Rattus norvegicus: one gene and its partner. The protein of the gene in region 1 purifies or fractionates together with the protein of each later gene. This does not show direct contact. Links are inferred from orthologs where the notes say so. Each region holds a gene or a part of one and is shown on either strand. Other genes may lie near its edges. The genes, in order: Stk3 and Rassf3.

Region 1 (3,818 bases):
ACCAGAGACTACACATACTGCTATCTATGCCTTCTGCATCCCTCAGAACAAAAACCATTGCATATGCAATGTCTATTGACTCTGCACAGAGAACCCTTTACCATCAGCCACACTTACTATCCAACCTGATTCCCTGTCAATCTCTTGACTCATAGTTTCCACTACAGTAAACAAGTGAACTGTTCTTCACCTCTCTAGATAAAAACTCTTATTCTTTTATCCTTCCATTTCTCCACCAAATTCTTCCTCAATTTCCAGACTGCCTATCATCTCTTGCTGAAAAACATTCCCTGCCCTCTTGTTCTTGTTATCACTCCAAGTACCCACTAGTCAGTACCCACTACTCTAAGTCAGGGCTCTTTGTCCATGCTTTTTCATCCCAAGTAGTCCACAGCCCCTCAAGAAGAAAAACAAAATCTTAGATTTCTCAGTATTTCTGGATCCTGATACATTATTTGCCCAACAGGAAATGCTTTGTAAGTGCTTGTTGATGAATCAGATTTACAAAAATTATTATATGCCAGATATAGAGAACATGTCTATCATGCCATCACTCAATTCAAAGGCTGAAGTAGTAAGACACAAAAATTAAGCTACAGAGGGAGTTCAACACTAGCCTTAGGCTACACAAGAAAGCCTGCATGGTAAAAAAGAACCAAAAACATGTAATACATAATGTAAAATGAGCCACTAAATATCAAAACCTTAATATTCAACCATAAATTGTCCTGAAGAGAGACAGGCTGTTATCTCCTTCCCTGTATATATCCTTTTATATCATTTCTTTGAATAGCTGTAAGGCCAAAGGACAAGTCTATACATTATCCTCAGGCTCTTTAGTTTTTGTCTTGCTCCCAATAAGAAGGCAGGAAAAAACAAATAGGTAACAAAAAAATCTATTTTACTATGTAACTAATGGCCATCATCAAAATGAACACAAGGAAATTAAGATACTTTCATACCTGTCACATTGTTGCATTATGGAAATTTCTTTGATTATTTCCTGAAGATCTGACTCAACAGGTACTTGCTTAATTGCAACAACTTGACCAGATTCCTTATGTATTGCTTTAAAAACACTTCCATAAGACCTTAAAAAAGAAAGCCAAGATGTTACTTTTTTTTTACATCAAGCATTGTATTAAAGACTACTGAGCTTTTTATGTATATTTTGCATACTGCATTTTCTAGCTTAAATCATCATTATAATGGTCAAAAACAAAAGTAAAGGAATAATAAGTTCATGAAGGAGCGTTACTGCTTGAATTACAAACTTAAAAGTTATCAAGTAAAAACACAGTGAGTTGCTATTTTCTTATGGGAAGAAAGGAGTAGGAGGCAGAGGAGATAGGAAGGAGGCCAGGAGGCTAACTTACGGTTTGTCAACTCAAATGCAGCTTAAAAAGACAGAAAAGGAAATTACAAGCATGAAAAGTAAGTTAAAGACAGTCCAAGTCTCGGGCTAAGAGGAAGACTGAATCAAGCAGAAGCCCAAGGGACCTTTCACTGTGAACCTTTTTTTTTTTTCTTTTTTTTTCTTTTTTGATTCTTTTGGGACAGGCTCTCATGTAGCCTTAAACATACTATAATCCAAGGACAATCTTAAATTACCAAGATTGCAGATGTGTACAACACCAAACTATCGTGAACCATTTAACACTAAATTAAGAAAAGTTGGCAATCCTCAACCAAAGTCTCTCAAGGCTTCTTTAAGTATCACCTTTCAAGAGAAAGACTACACACTCATGGGTAGTCACATAAAAGGAGACAGAAGACTTAATCTCTACTCTAGCTTTTGAATGTCTATCAACTAAATACTTGTGTGTTTTACAGAGCAGAAGCAATGAAGAAAAAAGTGATCTGTAACTTAATATGTACTCCAAACCAAGTTTAAAACTACTTAGTTCTAACAGTAAACCAGGTACCCTGACAGTTTTACAAGCATTGAACCTTCAGAATACCTTGGATTGTGTTTCCCAATTTATAATCAGTGCACTATGTTTTGTCATTTTGTAGTTATGTCTAACTTAGCCAACTGTATCAGAAAAAGAGATTTGTAAAAATCTATCTTATAATTTGTCAAGTTTCTGTTTTTAACCATATACTTAAAAGGGAAGACTGCAAAGTATACCTCTGTTTGTGTGTGTGAGACCATAACTAAATACAACAGATACTTTATATAAGCATTACAATCAGACTTGCTAATAACATTTAATCCTTTTCTAAGTTTTATATCTGTCCACTTCTAAAAGACAAAATCACATATCCATTTTTACTAGATTCTACTTACTCAGCAAATGACTCTCCCATCAGAGTTAGTTACTGTACTGTCTGTCCAAATGATCCGACAGGATTTCCCTTCCTATCCTTATCTCTACTTCTCTGTCCACTTGGGACCTTTTCCCTCTCATTTACCCAACAGAAGCACTGTTCCTTTTGTTTTCCTTTGATTTTTACCCATATGTTTGACTCTTTCTGATAGAATTTTTAATAAAAAACATCCTCCTGTTTAATTTTATATAGAGCTTATGAAAGCAGATTGGCTACTTTTAATTTTCTCCGAAGAGTTAATATTTTAATGTGACATTTAGTGAGCATTATACTTCATTTTACTTTTCCCACCTTATATTTGGAATGTTATATATTATATGTTCTTGCAAATATAATTGTTTTATACTTATTATCTACCTTTATCCATGATCAAATAATATACATTCCTCTATTATTTTGAAATGTTAACAATTCACCTGCCTATACATACTTATTTCCTCAAGATACTCAATTCAAAGCTTCTACTGGTCTTTTCCCAAATAAAATGGGTCCTAGGGTGCCAAACACAACCACAACCACTAGCCTAAGAAAGGCAAAATTATGAAGTTTACCAATGATAATGCACAAGATGGCCAAAACTCATACAAATCACTTTACAGCACATTTCTTGCTTCAGAGAGAGAGAGAGAGATTTTTCTAAAAGATAGTGTTACTATCCATACCTATCACTAATTGTCAGATTTCATGGTATTAGTAGTACTCACTCCAGCAAAAATACCCTGGTGAGAGCCTAGACAACACCACCTTTATATAAAAGATGTTTCCACGGTTCTTACTCACCCTTCTCCAAGCTTCTCCAAAACATCAAAGACCTCTTCAGGCTGCTTAGTCAAACTGTCTTCACTCAGCTTTTTTAGCTTACTGATAAAAGTAGAAAGAAAAATGCTTTCCTTAAAAGCTTTTTAAAAGACAATGCAATAAGCAATATAATCAGACGTTCCAAAAGCAAGTACAATGAAAGGTGCAGCCAACAGTCCCTTCCGAGGGATGTTCCTTGTGTGCCTGGCAACAGACTCCAATAGAAACCTCTTCAAAATCAGATGGTCATTCCTTTCCCTCATTCAGAAAGACAAGATGGCATTTTATACATATGCAATTCATGCACTGCTTCCACTCAACAACATACAGTTGTTTATATACTGATAATAACATATATCCCACCTAATAAAGGGGGTACATTCCAAGAAATACTTTAGGTAATTTTAACACAATAAGAACACCATGGACTGTACTTCAGCAAATCAAGGATATATGGCCTATTACATGGGCCGTATACACCGATTTCTACTCTATCCATAATGAACACAACACAGGAAAATTGGTAAATATGGAAAATTGGAGAATATGGTAGAAGATATACATGGCTTACATTTTTGCAGTAAACAGTTTCATCAGAAGGAATATACTTAGAGATAATTATTAGAACTACACTACAGTTAATACATAAGCATAATAATTTAATATCATGGCCAAGTAGTATATACTGT
Region 2 (3,818 bases), about 9.3 Mb from region 1:
CCCCTCCTCGCTAGGCTGCTGAGCCCGTGGCTTCTGACTTGCCTATTTTTCTGTTCCAAAGAGCCTTTCTTTAACAAATGTACACACTTGGGAAAAGCTGTGCGTCACCCTGTGTAGCTAAGGGACATTCCTATCATGTCAAAGTCAGTACATTTTCTTCGATGGCTGCTTTAAGGCTTTTCCCAGAGAAAACTTAAGTGGCTTACTGCTACTTACTGCAGGGACTATAGACACCAACTTCCATTCCAACTGCTGCCCGGGAGATCCCATCCCGCTTCCTGAAGTAACCTAATGTGCGCTCTATTCACTGGGCATTCGTGTAGGCTCAAGCAGACCTGGGGTCAACATTGCTTGGTTTTTGCATGTGAGTTGTACGTGTGCCTCTTGGCCTCTCCAGCCTTAGCACGTGTACATGAGCTTCAAATGTAAATCATCACTGAAAACTTCAACCACCTAAGTGTTCCTTGGTGCGTTAAAGGGCATTAAATTCATCGCTAACATGCTCTCACCAAACCTGTCCCTCTGTGCGGCAATACCAGCAACAAATCCTCCACGCATGCCCGCTGCACACAGATGCCTCAAAGCCCCTCAGGCCTAACGCAATCATAAATGTCTGACATCAGAGTGTGGCTCCCACACTCTGTCCCTGGCCTCTGACGAGGCACCTCTCGGCTGCCCTTCCTTCTGCTAATGAGTAAGAAAGACAGGAACAGAGGGACCGCTTTCATTTGAAGCGTGGCCACGTACCTTGGTCTTCCCTGTGACAACGCTTATAAAGCGCAAACTTGGTGGGACTCTCGGTCACCTGAAACTTCTTGAGCAGCGCGTCGATCACGTCTCCCACGGTGTTTGTGCTGCTGATATGAAGCGTGTTCATGCAGCCACTGCTGCTGGGGTTGGCAGGGGTCTGGGCAGGTTTGCAGAGTTCCATCTGCACCTTAATGAAGCCAGTGTAAATCCCGTTTGAATTCTGGAGAGTAAAGAAAGGCATACTGAGTGGGCGGTCGGCAGGCTGGGAAAGGAGCAGATCTAAGCCCCATGGGAAGGCGAACAGCTTTTACCCAGTTTTGTCTCGAAAACGATTTCACCAAAGAGAGCAGAGAGGGGCTCCCTCAGTGGGGGATTAATACAAGATCTGCAGGGTGGATGCTGTGGAGGATGCTCCAGGATGTCCTGGAGCGCTAGCCCTGAGGTTTGTGCTTCCAAAGCTTCCTGTGATGGATCAGCACCCATTGAGGAAGACACTGTCCTGCGTGGTCCGCGCCTGCCAGACCAGAGCTGCCCTGAAGCCTGGAGCGTGTCTCAGCTCTGTGCTCAACACCAACCTTCCACAGAGAGGAAGGTCACAGCGAGGGCTCTGAGACACCCAAGTCAGCATTGTGTTGACACTAGGAAAATAGACTAGCTTTATTCCCAGCGGCAAGGGGACACAGCAGATGGCACTGTTGCTACACCCTTGTGCCCAGTGGGTCAGACACTCCCACCTGGTCAAGGCGGGGTCCCTCACTGTGTTCTTGCTGCGGCTGCTGCTACTGCAGCTCTTGGGTATTCCAGGAGAATGGTCCTGAAAGCTCAATTCTCCATTTCTCTGTAGGAGTGTTGGCATTACAGATGTGCACCGCTCCATCTGGCCTTTTTTTCACGAGTCTCAGGGATCAAACCTACCAGCCCTGCCAGCTTGTACTTTTACACAGACAGACAGACAGACAGATATCCGCACATGCTCATACCCCGTCCCTAGCCAGCTCCCTGCCCCCAGCCGTCTGTCAGTGAGAGCCAGGTGAACCAGGAAGGAGTACTTACTAAGGTCATCTTCAGCTTATCTGTGACGGCTAAATTGTACTTATGCACTTTCTCTTTGATTTCCTCTTTGCTGAGGTAATTGTGTGTTTCCTTCTCCTTCTCCACATCCTAGAAGAAAAACCGTCCGTGATCATGCATGAAGAACCACACTGGGGGGAAGGTGCAGATAAACCAGGTTTCATCTGTGTTTCACAAAAGAGCAGCAGACGCATTTCTCCCCGAGACACAGGCAACTCTAGTCTATCAGCCAGCACACCAGGTTCATCTGCCAAGCACGCCTCATTCTTCACACCCGTCTTCCTAGGGGTAGCGGAATGAAGTCAATCCACCAGCAACTGGAAACAGCACTTCAATAAATATTAGTCCGCAAATCTGCCTTTGCCAGATTCCTTCTGTAAAAGTAAAGTTCTGCAGAACATCTGCTAGGCTGCGGGGCACTTCGACCTCTAAGGGGTATTCGTTTACCTTCATGTTTACTTCTGAGACAGGGCCTCATTGCGCGGCCCTGGCTGGCCTGGAACTTACTATATAAACCAGGCTGGCCTAGAACTACTAACAGAAACCTGCCTGCCTCTGCTTCCTGAGTGCTGCTGAGATTAAAGTTGTGAGCCACTATGCCTGGCACACCGAAAGCTTCTCCTAGGTACATTTTATTAATGCCATGGTCTCTACAGCTTTACAGTACGCACTAGCAGAAAGTAGGGAACGAATACTAAGTAACTGGCAATAGTAACCGACCTGTCAGACTGTGCACCACTACCAGAGGGTATATTTACCTTCTAAATAACATGTGACCAGGTTCTCTCTACCCCACCATGCTGTCTACTTGTCCCCATACCCTATTTTCTTCGGCCTTTCTTTCCCCATAACGCAAAAGGGGAAATGCTTACTGGTTAAGTTCTTTCCTGATCCTTTAGAAATCACTAATAATTTATTATCTAAAGATCCCAATCGGGGTTGGGGATTTAGCTCAGCGGTAGAGCACTTGCCTAGCAAGCGCAAGGCCCTGGGTTCTATCCCCAGCTCCGGAAAAAAAAAAAAAAAAATCCTCGAAGATCCCAATCAATGCATATTTGTCCTGCCTGATCTTATGTCAACTTGACACAGGGTAGAAGGAGGTAGGGAAGAAGGAACTTCAAATGAGAAAATGCCCCCCACTGCCCTCAACTGTGGGTCAGCCTGTGGCGCATTTTCTTGATTGGGTGATTGATGTGGGAGGATCTAGCATACTGTGGGTGGAGTCACACATGGACTGGTGGTCCTGGGCACTTTACAAAAGCAAGCCAGGTGTCTGTCTTAGTCAGGGTTTTTATTCCTGCACAATCATCATGACCAAGAAGCAAGTTGGGGAGGAAAGGATTTATTCAGCTTACACTTCCCCATTGCTGTTCATCACCAAAGGAAGTCAGGACTGGAACTCACACAGGGCAGGAAGCAGGAGCTGATGTAGAGGCCATGGAGGGATGTTACCTACTGGCTTGCTTCCCCTGGCTTGCTCAGCCTGCTTTCTTATAGAACCCAAGACCACCAGCCCAGGGATGGCACCGCCCAAAACGGACCCGCCCATCTTTGATCACTAATTGAGAAAATGCCTTACAGCTGGATCTCATGGAGGCATTTCCTCAAGGGAGGCTCCATTCTCTGTGATAACACCAGCTTGGGTCAAGTTGACACACAGGACCAGACAGTACAGCAAGCCAGTAAGTAAGCAGACCTCAATGGCCTCCACCATCAGTCCTGCCTTGAGCTCTGATGCACTGACTTCTCTGGATGATGCACTACAAACTCTAAGAAAATGTAAACCCCTTTCCTCCCCAAGTTGCTTTTGGCCATCGTCTTATCCCAGCAATGGAAACCTAACTAGGACAGATGAATCCATGTACCCACAATCCCAACTGTAGCATCTGGAGAGCCAAGGATGCCAGGCACCACACTGGATCACGTAACCACGCACAAAGCTGGCGAAATTACCCAGTGTCCATGCAGAACTGAGTCCTAGCAAGCGAGTTAACTTG

The links.
Region 2: the proteins of Stk3 (region 1) and Rassf3 purify together in Homo sapiens (affinity purification with mass spectrometry; 4 studies listed by BioGRID and IntAct, with this or other methods). This does not show direct contact. The link is inferred for Rattus norvegicus from reciprocal best matches to the Homo sapiens genes STK3 and RASSF3.

Annotation. Positions count from the first base shown.
Region 1 is NC_086025.1:68,170,266-68,174,083, forward strand, and holds part of Stk3 (serine/threonine-protein kinase 3), read right to left. Parts: intron 3,193-3,818; coding exon 3,112-3,192; intron 1,398-3,111; exon of another isoform or gene 1,377-1,397; intron 1,092-1,376; coding exon 963-1,091; intron 1-962. UniProt on the Homo sapiens protein: Stress-activated, pro-apoptotic kinase which, following caspase-cleavage, enters the nucleus and induces chromatin condensation followed by internucleosomal DNA fragmentation.
Region 2 is NC_086025.1:58,826,995-58,830,812, forward strand, and holds part of Rassf3 (ras association domain-containing protein 3), read right to left. Parts: intron 1,912-3,818; coding exon 1,804-1,911; intron 971-1,803; coding exon 748-970; intron 1-747.